Drosophila melanogaster: one gene and its partner. The protein of the gene in region 1 purifies or fractionates together with the protein of each later gene. This does not show direct contact. Each region holds a gene or a part of one and is shown on either strand. Other genes may lie near its edges.

What was found.
Region 2: the proteins of usp (region 1) and Utx purify together in Drosophila melanogaster (affinity purification with western blotting; 2 studies listed by BioGRID). This does not show direct contact.

What each region holds. Positions count from the first base shown.
Region 1 is NC_004354.4:2,036,920-2,043,977, forward strand, and holds usp (ultraspiracle), read right to left. Parts: upstream 5,393-7,058; 5' UTR 5,128-5,392; exon of another isoform or gene 4,949-5,127; intron 4,726-4,948; 5' UTR 4,542-4,725; intron 4,468-4,541; 5' UTR 3,995-4,467; coding exon 2,468-3,994; 3' UTR 1,879-2,467; downstream 1-1,878. Other genes in the region: CG4325 (uncharacterized protein), read right to left, coding at 6,140-6,494, 6,687-6,808. UniProt on the Drosophila melanogaster protein: Receptor for ecdysone. May be an important modulator of insect metamorphosis. Plays an important part in embryonic and post-embryonic development. Binds to ecdysone response elements (ECRES) such as in the promoter region of s15 chorion gene.
Region 2 is NT_033779.5:10,272,812-10,281,449, reverse strand, and holds the start of Utx (Utx histone demethylase), read left to right. Parts: upstream 1-2,638; 5' UTR 2,639-2,751; coding exon 2,752-2,801; intron 2,802-2,853; coding exon 2,854-3,200; intron 3,201-3,524; coding exon 3,525-3,636; intron 3,637-3,898; exon of another isoform or gene 3,899-4,055; intron 4,056-4,288; exon of another isoform or gene 4,289-4,638; intron 4,639-4,882; coding exon 4,883-5,058; intron 5,059-5,337; coding exon 5,338-5,466; intron 5,467-5,527; coding exon 5,528-5,753; intron 5,754-5,820; coding exon 5,821-6,001; intron 6,002-6,062; coding exon 6,063-6,323; intron 6,324-6,383; coding exon 6,384-6,516; intron 6,517-6,581; coding exon 6,582-7,285; intron 7,286-7,344; coding exon 7,345-7,484; intron 7,485-7,567; coding exon 7,568-7,987; intron 7,988-8,043; coding exon 8,044-8,253; intron 8,254-8,327; coding exon 8,328-8,454; intron 8,455-8,543; coding exon 8,544-8,638. Other genes in the region: CG34043 (uncharacterized protein), read left to right, coding at 620-1,069, 1,130-1,397, 1,764-1,817, 1,880-1,930, 2,037-2,090, 2,192-2,331.

The DNA of each region.
Region 1 (7,058 bases):
CTCGTCTCGTTTAGAAATCAACACAATTCCGATACATTCTGATTATGATGAATATACGTATATGTACGAATGTCCTGAACATGAGTTTGTTGAACGATCAGGTAATTAGGACCTGGGTATGAGCCAAATAGTCTGGCCATTGGACTGTCTTCTAAAAGCAATGGGTATCGCCAGTTCCGAACTCCTTCTTTCTGCTTTTTGCTCATTTGCAGCTGCGGTGCTGCCTGCTCCCCTTGCTTTTGCTGCGGCTGTGACGAAGAGAGCTCTCGGACGGACGCCCATTAGTGAAATTGGTAGGAAAATGCAGTTGCAGGCGACACGAAGTAACGCAAAGAAAGTAAGAGAGCTCAAAAGGGGCACCCTGTATGGCGTATGCTGTGCGCGATATGCGAAGACGACAACAACTTGTTGGCCCCTACGTCAGCGCGTCTGACGCCCCACCTCCTTGGTTTTCTCCTCGTCTGTCAGCGAGTCTCCGCGGTTCAGACAGCATCCACCCATAGTCCCCTCGTGGGTCTTTGGCAAACGCCCCCGCATAACTACGAAAATAGCAAATTGTTAATTTCGCTTCGAAAACTCTTTTCCAATACACACACGAAATCGCAAATCGTCGAAGGAAATGGTGGTGGGTATTTGGAGGAGGAGGGGAGGGGACACATGATTTTATTGGCATGCTTTCATGGTTTTTCCGTGCGAAACATTTCATTTTTCATTCCACATTTTTTAACACGCTGCTACATAGGACTATTTGTGTGGGCTTCTTCTTGTCGGTGGAGAGAGATGAAATTTATGAAATTTATTAAATATGCTCGCCACACACAAAATCAAGGATAGCTATTAGCTAAACCAATAAAAACCACCCACAATAAGTGTGGACACACTGCCGTCTCTCTCTAACATTCTACCCCTCTCTTTCACTCTGTGTGGGAGCTTTCAAAAGCTCTAGATCATTTGTGTGAATGGAGAATCTGAGAATACGTTCATGTTAAATAGCCAGGATCTCCGACGGCTAAGTATTGTATCCGTCGACTTGTCCCAATTTACAGATATTCCTTTGGGGCGAGATATACAGATAAGATACAACGATATAGAAAGAGATAGAGCCTCAATTTGGCTATTTATAGAACATAATGTGCGTCGTCAGCGGCGAGTTTTGTTCTTTTTTCAAAAACAATATCTATTCTTAGTCGCTGCTTGTGCGTTAATACCATATTTTTGTAAATACATACTAACATACATTCCCGCTGAGACATAAATTTTATAAAAATTGACCAAATGCCATCTGAGAGGCCGCAACATCAAGGTGAGGAGTGGGGACCATCAGGCGATGGTCCACAAACCAAAAATCAATGCCTAGGGGACGCGAACAAGGCGTACAGTGCGGTTCGAAAGCGAAAAGCGATCCTTTCATAATCACAATAGAAGGGATTTCTAGTTGGTTAACATTTTACACATTATAAGTACAAGATCGTGAAATCGTTGGGATCATCTTTTGAATGAAATGAATTAAATTTAGACTGGCTATTTTCGAAGAGTTTCCGCAGTGAACTTTATTTATTACCTCCACCTAATTATATCACAGATATATTAAAAAAAAAAAGAAAGCCACCCAAGGGGCCGGCAGAATAACTAATTTAACTAGTAATACAAAACTTGTTAGGCGGAACAGAACATAGTATGATTTATAATAATAAAACTGAAATATTGAAACATCCGCGCAAATAGGCATGGATGTATATACATTTCCGCCTTCGAGAAAGTCACTCGATTTCTTCTTACAGTCCTGAAACGCACCGCTTATATACGCAAATAAAGCCATATATTTGTGTGGACAATGGGATTAATCGCAGATCCGCAGATAAAACGACCATATATCTTGTTATGCAGTTTATATTTTTTATACATAGATATATTTTGTTGGTTTTCGTCGGTGATTTTTGTATCTCGCATCTAATTGATAACGTTTTGGGTAAATTTATGTTAAAAAGTAATTACAATTGATTTAGAACGGGGCCAGCACCGCAGATATGCGCCTGCTGACATATATATTTATGCTGAATTTGTATGTTTACATACGTCTGTAGATCATAACTATGCATTAATTTTAACCGTTATTTTAATATCTTTACTCGTTTAGCTTTAGTTTAACTTTTACTTTTACTTTGCTTGTGTGCATTTTCTCGTTCGTGTTTTGTGTTCTTTTCAAGTTTTGGATTTTGTTTGTTTTTCGTTTACTGGGACATAAACGTCGAGGAGGCTAATCTTCATCTTAAGGAAAACATTTTCTATATCAATAATAATAATAATATTAGGTAATAAAAAAAAAATAAACAATTACATACACATTTTGCGTAATATTAGGGGGCTTTTGTAGGGTATAAGGGATAGAGAGGAGAAATGCAAACAAACGCAATCACAATGAAACATTTTTCGGATGGAGAACGGGGGAGACTTTAGAGTCGGGACCCTACTCCAGTTTCATCGCCAGGCCGGGTGGCGGCGGCGCCTCCAGCTGCTCGAGAAAGAGCTCCTCCAGCGGCCGGTCGCTGGTAATGCGGAAGAGGAACAGGTGATCCTGGCACTTCAGGCTGATCGATCGCAAAGCGGGCAGACGCAGCAGCAGTTGCGCAAAGCGTCCATCGTCGCCCGGATGTTCCAGGCGGCAGTGCTCGTCCAGGCAAGCGTACACCTTCTCGCGGCACATCTCGATCTCCGCCCGGCTCTTGATCCCGCGTATGTCCGGGTTGTACAGTATGATGGCCTTCAAGCAGGACAGCTCGCGTCGGTCGAGATTCAGCCGCTTCATCTTTACACTCAGCTCCGACAATATGCGGTCGAAGATGGCTGACACACCGGCTTTGATCGCACTGTTGCGATGGTACGAGAAGCTCTGGTTGAGGAACAGCTGCTGGGGCTGAAGGCCCGGTGATCGTCGCTCAAAGGAGCCATCGTGGCCTAGTCCACCGCCCCCGCCGCCGGCACCGCCGTCATCCAGCGAAACGATGCTGCACCAGGCCACGTTCGCAATGAGCAGCTCGATCCAAGCGGCTTTCAGCAGAATCACCTGGTCGTCCAGCGGCACCTGGGCAAAGTGCGGCATCATGCGCGCGTATTCGACCATCTGGAAGAGCTGTTTGTTGACCACTTGGCACAGGGCCGACACGGCACCCTTGTAGTCCGGCTGGACTGTGGAATAGGGACCAACGCGCAGGAACGTCAGTGCACGATCGCCGCATTGGGTCTCCGCTCGCTGCTCGGCCTCTATGATGCGCTCGATCGAGAAATCCCTGGACACGCTATTGGTCATGAAGTCATCAGAACCGTTGCCGCTGCCCATTCCGCCAGAAACGCCGCCTCCTCCTCCTCCGCCTTGAGAGCTGGATCCGCCTACCGAACCTGGACCGCTACTGCCGCCTCCGCTGGCGCTGAGCCTACCCGCCGCATTGCGGGCGCCGCGTTGACGCTCCTCCTGGACCGCTTCGCGCTTCATGCCGCAGGTTAGGCACTTCTGGTAGCGGCAGTACTGGCAGCGGTTCCTCTGCCGCTTGTCTATGATGCAGTTGCGGTTCTCCCTGCAAGCGTATGTGAGATCCTTGCGCACTGTGCGTTTAAAGAAGCCCTTGCAGCCCTCACAGCTGTACACGCCGTAGTGCTTGCCACTGGCCCGATCCCCGCAAATAGAGCAGAGGTGCTTGCTGCCGCTCAGCGGATGGTTAGGCGGATACTGCTGCTGGACTGCAGCGGCGGCAGAGCCTCCAGCCGAATTGGGCGCCTGCGCCATTTGGGCATCTCCAGCGCTGTTGTTGTTGGAGCTGGCGGAGTTGGAGCCGGGCAGCACGTGGACCATGGACATGGCCTGCATGAAGGGCACGGGACTCTCGGCCTTGGGCGAAAAGCTGCTGTTGTTGCTGTCGTTCAGCTGCGAGATGTCCGGCTTGACCTCCTCCTTGATGTGGCTCAGCCGAAAGCTGGCGTCCTGGTCGCAGTTGTCCATCCTGGGCTTGTGATGTGGTGCTGGGTATATTGGAGGAACTGGGGGCAGCGCCTCCTCCGCCTACCGGTTTCTTCTTGCTCGTTCTCTTCGTGTGTATGTGGTGTGTCTTGGCTCGCTTTCGCCTCTCTGTTGGGGTTTCACTTTGCCAACGCCACCGTGTCCGTCCGTCCGCTATTGGTCCGTTGGGCCAAGTGGAGCAGGTTGCAGTTTCGTTGTTGGTGGGGTCGTTGCTGCATTTACATAATCTTGAGCCGATGGAGCAGCGCACTTTATTCGCTCGCCTCCAAACAATTGCGCTTTTTACCAACAAACAAAGAATGCCAGACTTTCTGACTAATGAATAAATACCTTTTTTCGCGTCGACATTTTTTCTCAACAAAGACAATCTCACCACAGCGACGCAACTCACCAACGTAGGGATGGACTGTGACACAGGTTGCGTCGTCACGAGTCACAGTCACGACTGTTAAACACTGTATAAAATTAACAACGGCGATGGTATTACCTTAAGTCATATGGTATATAACGCATCTATAAAATTACATACTCCTCTTTTTAATTAATGCACGACATAAGTACATATATCGGTCTCCCAATTGAAGCACGGATTCGTGACTGGGCGCAATCGCATCTCTAATTCACCACAAAGTGGACAGGGCTGTTTTCCCACTCACAGAAACAGTTTTAAGTGGGCGTTAATGACCCAATTAAAGCGCTAATGCCCATCGCACCTGCCGCAAAAATAAGTGTTTTTACTTTGATAACCAATGCGCAATCAATCAATTAATTAATTTAGTCGAAAACCAGAAAACGGGAGTAGCGACAGCCCTGGCGGCGCCATTGCAAAACTCACCGCACCTACGGCGCATGCAACCCTGAGTCAGTCTGGCTCCCCTCCTCACCGCCTTGCAAACCACACAGTGCACAAATAATTTAGCGCCGCTGCAATTATGCAGAATAGAAATGCAAAATGGAGACGTGAATGTGCGCCAATTTCACCGCTGCCGGCGGCAACCTCGGCCTCAAATCGCAAACGCCGTCGCCGAGAATCGAGCGGTTAGGCTGCTGAACCGTGAATCCCAAGACCAAACGGAACCAGAATTGGGCGAAATGCAAATGGAAGTGCAACTTACTTGCAGCCAGTGGCTTTTGATGCGCCGCAAGGTGACGGTTGTTTATTTACTTTTTTCCTTGGCTATCAGTTATCAGTGCTCGCGAGCACACACACACACAGGCACGTCACTGACACGACAACACCACACGACGCTGATTTAATTTGTTGCAATCTCTATTGTAATTGTAGTAATTGAGTCCATCCCATCATCACAAAGAGACGCGACGCGGTAATTGGCATTCGCAAGAAGAAGCATTTCGCGAAACAACAGCTGACAGCGTGGTGAGAAAGCGATTGCGGGGGGCGAAGAACTGGTTTGTCTGTGGTGAGTATACTGTCGCGGTGAGTTGCCTTGGTTCGGTAAAAAACAATGGCACATTATAGGCTGTTTCCACTTCGCTTAATGGTCAGAAAATCTGAAAATTAATCCGTCATGGATATTTATGTATTTTATATATTTATGCGATAGTTAGACCGCAGTAAATTTCTAAAAAATGAATTTCCGCGATGACCAAGAAGCAGGGATTCAGTAATTCAAGAGCACCCTAACATCTGCCTTAAAATTCGATACCGGTTTAGAACAAAAATGGGAGATTCAAAATTTATATAGAAAAAAATTTGCTTAACACTATCAAATTAAGAAGCTTATTTTAAAACAGTTTAAGGGAATGGAAATAGAGTTTTCACATCAAAATTGACATTCAGGACATATATTCTTAATATTTATTTGATTATTGGTATACAAAAAATACACTAATATGTGATATTTTCTATCAGTTTAATTTTCTGATATCGCAATTTGGGGCCTCAGCCCTAAACAATTTATTTCTATTTGGGTCTATTATCTTGTCAAACCCTTTAGTTGCTAACCCTGTACCTACCGCTTCCTTTATAATGAAATGTATCGAGTTCTTTTGTTTAGCTCAGCCTTATTACGTTTTGCCTGTCGGTTTCGCAAATATTCGGTTTTGATTGGTTTTCAGGCGAATAGTACGATAAGCAAATGCGACTCGTTTGTTTGTTTACGGCTTTTAATCAACATCCGAATCCGAACATTCATGTAGTTTGCTGAGTTCAGCATTGAGGACAGTAAGGGCTCCGATCCGCTGGTTAAGATATTCGATCTCTTCTCGGTACACGCCCGTCTCGTAAAGTAGATTCTCGTACTCCCTCATAATTCCAATATAATCGTCACTGCTGCTGTTGTCGTTACTGTTGTTGTTGTTGCTGCTGCAGCTGCTGCTGCTGCTGCTGTGACCTTGGCTCCGATTATGGCCGCCCCAACTGCCACCCTGAGCCGATGCACTTTCCGGAAACTCCTCAAAGTCCAGATAAAGCTGAAAGTAGGCGGCATCCTGGCTGCGGCAGATAGGGCAAGTCCTTGATCTGCAAAGCAGACGGAATCCGCGTATAAGACAAAACGTTTGAGCTCGGCGATAAGATTTGGGGCACTGCCACTGATTTAAATCACTTTTGTATCATTTTCATTTCTGATTGGTGCATAAATTAGAATATTATATCAGTGGCACATTTCATTTTCGTTATAGCTCTCAAGTCCTTAGGATCACTTTTACTTACTGCTTTCTCCAGTGGTCTAGGCAGTCCTCGTGGAACGCGTGTCCGCAGCTGCCGGCTTGTATATTGTCCGAGGTGCGAAACCGCTCCGAGCAGATCGTGCAGATGACGTTGTTACGGCCCATTCCGCTCCGGTTGACTTATACCTAGGTCGATTCGATTCGCTCCGATCCAATCAGGTTCGATCTCCCTGTGCCGTATTGTTGCTCGGCCGGTGACAGGGGACTGAATGAATGCAAGTCGCTGAATCGAGCGTTTTGCTGATAAGCGTCCAGGCAGCCACAGTACACTCCACTCGGTCCTCCTCTTGTCGTCACTCGTCGGCCCTCTCGAGCACTCCCCTGCACTGCCGCACTCCAGTGCCAGCCCACCTTA
Region 2 (8,638 bases), on another chromosome or scaffold:
TAAGCTTGCGTAAACAAGAAAATAAATATTACTGCTTATATTAATTGTTCTTATATCTTCCATTAAAACAAATAACAAAAAGAATCTAAAGCTAAGTAAATGAGTTCATTTTAAATCTTTTTAAATCGTTGCCAAGACACATAAAATATTTATTATTACCTTTTTTTCAGTTATTTTAAATTTTTTGCTAACAAATTGGTTCACCCTTTTAACGATTTTCCGTGCTTAGTGAGCTGCCCTCTTAAATTTTTCATTCATTTTATGAAGCCAGACAAACAACAGTGAAACAGTAAAAACATGCGATATAAGATACCAAAAATTTGGGAATCTTTGTACTAATTGTTATCACATAATGAGCGTAATGTTCAGACTACTTCCTCAGTTACACTTCATATCTTCATATATAAAAAAAAGTGTTATTTCGCACACCTGTTTATGCTCAATTATCGCAACTGAATTAAGACCCAAGAATGCGGGTTCCGCTGTACTTAAGCAAATTATATAAAAAGATAAGCTATATCTCTCGGCATCTGTGCATCTGAGGTTGCTTACTATCTTAAACGTGTAAGGAAACCGTGAAGACAGTCAAGATTCTCCCGCCTGCGTAGCCAAAGATACTATGATTTCGGTAGCTCTGATTATCTTGTGCTTTTTTCCGTTCGTGCAAAATGAGTACTTTCGTCCTTCGTACCAAGTCCTTGTGCGCAAAAGGAATACTCAAGGAGATTTGATCGACGGCCATTGCTATGGCAATATCATTCAGAGTCGCTTGGTTTTAACATCAGCATCGTGTTTATTGAGTGATAACGATTTCGTAAATGGTAGGGAATTGTTAAATGCTGATGAGTTGGCGGTATCATTCAAAGGCGAAGATTTGAACGAGTTGATATACCTCGTTGGTGGCATAGACGTATATCCGCAGTTCAATTTCTCATCGTTGGACAATGATATAGCGATCCTAAGTCTCAGTACGCAACTTCCGCTTTCCGAGCGAAACGATATTGAATGGGTTTTAGTCGCTGACTATGATATTACCGATTTTCCATTGGAGGAGGGTGTGGAATCTTACGTAAAAACATATCCTTTTATGTGAAAAACGATTTTATTAATATTAAAATTACTACCACAGGTTTGGAAAAATGCGGATGGAGAAAACATATATCCCGGTTATGGTGTTATTCATGAAAGTAATTTAGTTGGAATCATTTCCTATGGCTTGCCATTGAAAAATAAACGGGAATCTAATCTTGAAGTTCGGCGCCCAAATAGGTTTACGCAATTAAATCCATATTTAAGTTGGATATATACAATAATACAGAATACAGAGATTGCGGACATTCAAAATAACAACTACAGTGTATCTCTACCTTATCGTCAAAGAAAAATCGCAGAAATAGGTAATGTAAACCGAAAGTTATTTGCTATATTTATTTTGTTGTCAAAAGTAGTTTATCGTTTGCGGATTAAGAGAAACAAATAGTTTCGTAGAAACTTTCCTCTGCTTTCCCGAGAAAGATTAACTGCATTTTGATAAGAATATTTCTATGATAAAACTAAAAAGATCCACTTTTAGCCGGAATTTTAAGGTCTAAAATTTATAACGCTTTTCTTTTGGGAAGAAGGGTTATCTTAACACATTTATCAAAAATCAAATAAATATCAAAGGTACTTTACTAAAATTTTTATAAATCCATCAGGAATTTTATTTTTCATTGTTATCTAATTACATATAATTAATTAGTACATTTTTAAATATTTTTCAGTGGAGGAATTCGTTGAGCCTGATGCGGTGTATTTTCCAGACCCAGCAAACCCCAGTAAGTCTAATTTATTCAGTTTTATTTTCTAAAATAACTTTAATTTGAATATTTAATTTCAGTTAAAGATGAGATTGAAACTGAGGTAGAAGATTTGACGGACTCAGAAACTGGTAAGAAAATGAATACGGCTGTTCTACTTCGTAATTACTTTTACAAAATTTTTAAATTTTTTTGTTTTTCCTTTGCTATACTTATTTACCGAGTAATTGTTTTTAGATGCTGTAAACGTGGAAAGCGTCTCAGAAGATTTTTTAAACACGGAGGACCCTTGTAAGTTAATTCATTGTTCTATTGATATTTAAATATTACATTGATTGTTTGAATAATATAGTTTTAATTAAAAACTACCTAAAATTTTGTTTATCTTTCAGTTAATGAAAACATTGAAAGTGAGAAGGAATTCCTAAAAAACCGAGCAAACACATCTAAGGCCAAAGGAGTTTGTGCATGGATATTCACATTTAATTTTCTTCTAGCGATAACTCGCACAATAAATTTCCATTTTTTTTAACTAAATTTTCAATTTATTTTTTGATCTTCAATAAGATCAGTTTCCATAACTTAAATGTATATTTTATCTGAAAAGTATCAAAAGAACTGCATTAAGATTCAAATTTTTAAAACATAAATTGTAAACAGCATCTGTATTGATTTGGTGTATAATAAATTGTTATCAGCTAACGCGAAAATAAAAATTATTTGGTCACAGTTTCCCACAATTTTCCAATCGTTCCAGTTCCGTTATCGATTGCGCAGTGAGAAACTAACTTCAAAAAAGGCGTGACACGTCGACGATAGAAAAATGTATCATCTCTAAGAATATTTTAGTGTCATCTCTAAACTAAAAATATAAATAAAAAAATATTTTAAAAACTACGCTGTATTTTGCCCACGCTTCTAAAACCCAGTAGATTTAACAGTTGGTTTAAAAATGGGGCAACTAACTTTCGAAGATGATTGCCTGATCCGCGAACTGGATAGGTACGATTAATGCCACCCGCTCGAATCTTGTTTAATAATATTTACGTTTCAGTCGATACTACGGCTTTTTGGATTTGTCCAATTCGAAAAATGCGGAATTAAGGAATCTCGTTCAGCAGACCATCACAAACTTACAAAACTACATTGCAAATGGTCAGGTTCACGAATCAAAGAACAGCAGTGATAATAAAAATGCTATACAAAAGTTTGAGCCATCAACTCAAGCAGGTGAACATATGGAAAACACATCTTCCCGAAACAATGACGACACCAAACCTTTCGAGCAAGATGCCAAGGAAAAGGTGTCCATCATTGAAGAAAAACACCAGGATGAACACTACGTTAACGCTCTTTGCAAACTTGGCCACCTGCATCTTCTTCTTGGCGAATACTCCGAAGGTAAATACATAAATCCAGATGCACATGTCCAGATACAATCAGTGCACTCTGCAAATGACATCTATAGGATATATAGGATGCTTGTAGTCCTCACAAATTCATATATTGTGAATATCTGGTTCTTTTACCTTACATAATGTGTCAGGTGGAACAATTGTTTCCAAACTCGGGAACATAGTTGTAGAATGCCGCATTAATGACACACTTTAACATTAAATACTGCTAAACTGCAGAGTACGACGCATAAATAACATAACACTTCAATCCATCACGAGAGATCCTGAAAGAATTGAGTTGTTTTTTAATATCTTATTCTTTTTGTAGCTTTATCAGCGTACCAAAAGTATTTAAGATTCCGAGAAAACAATTACTGGACAAATCATGCATTTATCTATGGAATAGGCGTTGCTTATTTTAAACTTCGGTGCTTTAAATGGTAAGTTTACTTATCTTTTTAATATTTTAACTGCTTAAATATATTTGTTGTATTTAAGAAATATCTTTATGCTACGTTCAAAAACAATTAAGTTATATTTAATAATTAAAACCCATTACATGCGATTTTGATATGAATCGTTTAAACGTAGATGCATGTGCAGTGGAAGCACATTTATTTATCAATTGTAATCATCGATGGCTCTTATCGATGTATACGTTTCGCTTTCATATCGTTCCCATTTAATCACGATATCGCGCCTGTCACATCCCTATTGTATTGATATTAAATTGTTTACTAAATAGATTCTACACGAAACAACACTGCCACTAATATTATATATATATTTGTAAACAATTCACAACGAATTAAAATTAAGACTGCCGAGATTTTTTCGAATAAAAAAAGTGCGTTTACTGGTTAGTTTTGAATCTTTTCATAGTTGTCTGGGTTCTAAAGAAAAAAAAAACAAATGGATGCTGTAAACATTAACACTTACAATAATAATAATTAAACCGATGTAATATTGCCAAAAATTAAAATGAATATATGTGTTTTCATTGTATTCCTTTGTTTGTTTTTGCAAATTCGCTGTTATAAAAATACATAAATTCTCGTTACATGCATGCATGTATGTACACGGTGCGTGTGTGTGCGTGTGTCTGTGTACAAAATGCAATGAGTGCCCCCCTTTAAGGTCGTTAGTTGAATTGCGGGGTAAAATGTGTTCTTTGTTTAATTTTATTAATTTCGAAAGCTAACATTTAGGCAGACCGCGTCCGACGCAAATAATCAATGATTCTCAGTGCAATTCTATCTGATAAAAAGCCATGAAACGGTCTGTCTCGTTTTTTTGAGTGCACGCAGACATGTCTGCCGACACGACGGCTGCAAGTTCTATTGTTATTTATAAACAAAACCTGCATTTTGCAGGCATATTTTAGGAGATTAACATTTAAGTTTACTGTTGTGCACTTATCATCGGAGTTCTAGTTTAATTAAGTATGTTACTTGAATTTGTTTGTTCAAATGGTTATTTGTATGTATGTATGTACATACGCGTGCATGTGTGTACGTGACTGCATGCACATAAGTATGTATGCACTTATGTAAACACCGCTCACTGTAAACAATTACTATAAATTAAATATAAAACAAAATTTAATAAATTAAAATAATACATTCAAGTTATAACAAATAATTCAGAACAACGAATAAAAAAATTAATTTACTTACTTTTTTCCAGGGCCATCAAATCGTTTCAGGAGCTTTTATACCTAAGTCCCAATTTTACATGTGCAAATGAAGTTCATTTGCGTCTAGGTCTTATGCTAAAACACTGCGGGGAGTTCCATATTGCCCTAAAACATTTACAATTGGCGCTGCTTTATACATATCCTTCGACCTTTTCGGAACTTCAGGGTAAGATCTATTGAATAATTATAAACTTTTGCATATAAGTTTCATGTGTAATTAAAACTGTGATCTGAAAAGGTTTTTCTGTTCTTCAGTTATTTACTTATCATCTTAAAATGTTATCTTATTATTGATATATAAACAACTTATATGCAAAAAGTCCTCATACATTGAATTATCAAGTAATACGATGAAGGCAAACTTCTATGATTCATTCAGAATTTAAATATTTTGCAGTACGTTCACCCCGTGTCTTAAACTTTATTCATTATTAATACTTTGCAGTCAAATTTCAAATCGCGCATTTGTACGAAGTTCAAAACAAGCACAAGGCGGCAAAGGATGGCTACGAATTTCTTCTAAATGAGAAAAACATCTCCTTGGAGCTCAAAGCAGATGTTTATCGACAATTAGGTAAGTTAAAAAGTTATATTTTAAGCTGGTAGAGACATAACTTTTTATTGAATCCTTATAGGATGGATGTACCATTGCGTAGAATGCCTAGGCGAAAAAAAGGAACGTGAAGCAAACGCATTAAATTTTCTACAAAAATCAATCGAAGCTGACCCAAAGAGTGGACAATCATTATATTTACTAGGAAGGTGTTACGCCGGCATCAATAAGGTTCATGATGCTTTCCTAGCATATCGCAACTCGGTGGAAAAAAGTGAGGGGAATGCTGATACTTGGTGCTCAATCGGGTAAAATAACAATGAATGTGTTTAGCTTGGCCCCTATCTTATTTGTATTCTACACATGCACTTCTAGCGTCTTATATCAGCAACAAAATCAACCCACGGATGCCCTTCAAGCCTACATATGTGCTGTGCAACTGGATAAAGACCATAAAGCCGCGTGGACCAACCTGGGTATACTTTATGAGAGCTGTGGTCAATTACGAGATGCCTATGCTTGCTACTTAAATGCAACCAAACAAATATCATTCCAGGTAAATTTATATATGCAATTGTAGCCATTTCCAATACCTAACACACTTGTTTTGCTTGAAGAAGTCTTCGTTAATTCGAAAAAAACAAGCAATACGTATGAAAAAGGACACAATTGGACTGTCGAAAGGCCTGTCTCAGAGAATCACTTTCCTGGAGGGCCAGCTCAGTCAAGCACCATTGCCAAGTATTACATCCAAGCGCCGCCAGCTGTGTTCAATCGAAGAAGCTTGGAACCTGCCAATATCATTAGAAATGAACTCTCGCCAACAACAAACAGCGCAGATGCTACCAAGACAGGTCACAAAGCAAAGTCCAGTACAGGTGAATTCCTTAATCCTAAACCAATCAGTGGGCAATCAACTAAATCATGTTTTTAAACAGGGACCGCCACCACCTTATCCGCATAGCCAACTCAGCCAAAGTCCCATACCTTCGAAACGTATTAAGGAAGATGGCACAAGCCAACAAGAAGTAACACAAAACAACAGTCAGACATCAGCGCAAAATCTAATAAGTAAGTGACCAATTTAAATAGTATATATCTTAAAGTATTAAATCACTTTTTAACACTCCAAACAGACATTTCGGAATCTTTAAACCAGCGCAACTTCAACGCCATGCCGGAGAGCAACAAAAGTTCGGAGCAAAGTGTTCTTGACACCTTCGACGACATCTCGAATGATATTTATAAACAGAATGAGAGCATCAAGCTCGAACGTTTGAGCCAGGATGCACTGAGTAACAATGAGGACTCGAGGCATGATTTTATTGGCGGTGACAACGCCGACATCTCGACCACGTTCAAAATACAAATGGACTCGAAGCAGTTGATGGTAGCTGTGAAGCTGCTGCCGATTGATGAACCGCCCGTGCACTGTACCATTTTGCAAGTGAATGCGCCGCCGCCATCTCCGCCCGATTGCCCACCGCAGAAACTGACGCGAGATCAACTCCTGCCTCCCACACCCTCTGTTCATTTAGAAAATAAGAAGCACGCGTTCAGCCCACAGTTGCAGGAGTTTTGCCTGAAACATCCGATTGCCGTTGTACGCGGCTTAGCGGGCGTCTTGAAGCTAGATCTCGGTCTCTTTTCGACCAAAACGTTGGTGGAAGCCAACCCGGACCATAGTGTTGAGGTTCGGACACAAGTGCACCAGTCTCCCGATGAAAATTGGGACACTTCGCAGGGTAAGCGCGTCTGGGCCTGCATTTCCCATCGGTCTCACACAACCATAGCCAAATATGCCCAATATCAGGCATCCAGTTTTCAAGACAGCTTGAAGGTAATGTTCGTTGGGTTGGTTCCTCTTTAACATGAATACAAGTTTACTTTATCGTGTAGCTTATTTTACCGCAGGATGAAAGCGATAAAGGTTTCCCCGGCTCGCAAGCAATGTCGGATTCAGACTCAAAGGACTCGGTATCCAATTCGAACATTGTTCTCAAACGTAAAAAACACAAAATAAACAGCAAAATGTTGAGGTAATAGAAACTCCAAACCATTTATGTCTGCATTACGAACTTTATGAACATAAATTAAATGCTTATTTCGCTTTTTTTTTTAGGTTCGGGACCAACGTGGACCTCTCCGATGAAAAGAAATGGAAACCACAATTAACAGAGCTACAAAAACTGCCAGCTTTTGCGCGAGTTATATCCGCTGCCAATATGCTATCACACGTGGGCCACGTCATTTTGGGCATGAACACCGTTCAGCTGTACATGAAGGTGCCCGGAAGTAGGACGCCTGGCCACCAAGAGAACAACAACTTCTGCTCAATCAACATCAACATCGGTCCTGGCGACTGTGAATGGTTTGCCGTCCCTGACGCCTACTGGGGCGGAGTTCACAATCTTTGCGAGAAGAACAACATTAGCTATCTGCACGGCTCGTGGTGGCCCGTCCTGGAGGATTTATACAAGGAGAATATACCAGTTTATAGATTTATACAAAAGCCCGGTGACTTGGTTTGGGTGAATGCCGGGTAAGCACTGAATATGAAAGGAAGGATGATGTATTAACAATCAAACCTACTTTCAGATGCGTCCATTGGGTTCAGTCGATCGGTTGGTGCAACAACATTGCGTGGAATGTTGGACCCTTGACTGCCCGTCAGTATTCTCTTGCCATCGAGCGATATGAGTGGAATAAAGTGCAGGCCTTCAAGAGCATTGTGCCGATGGTGCATTTAAGCTGGAATCTTGCAAGGAATATTAAAGTGTCTGATACCAAACTTTTCGAGCTGATAAAGTGAGTTAGCAAATGATAGGAATCACCATTATGCAGATACTATAGGGCATACATATGTAATTTGTAATTTTCAGAATGTGTTTGCTGCAAACGTTGAAAAACGTATTGCACATACAAGAGTATGTCAAATCGAAAGGTGTGGAAATACGTTTCAATGGACGCGGAAAGAACGAAGCATCCCATTACTGCGGACAATGCGAGGTATTTAGCGTAGTATTATTAACATATTTATACAGTTTCCAAAGGTGATATGAATGCAGTTTATTTAATCATTTGTGCACTCTTTGCAGGTTGAGGTTTTCAATGTGCTGTTCATCAAGGAGCAGGAGAAACGACATGTGGTCCACTGCCTATCGTGCGCGCTGAAGCTATCTCCGTCGCTCCA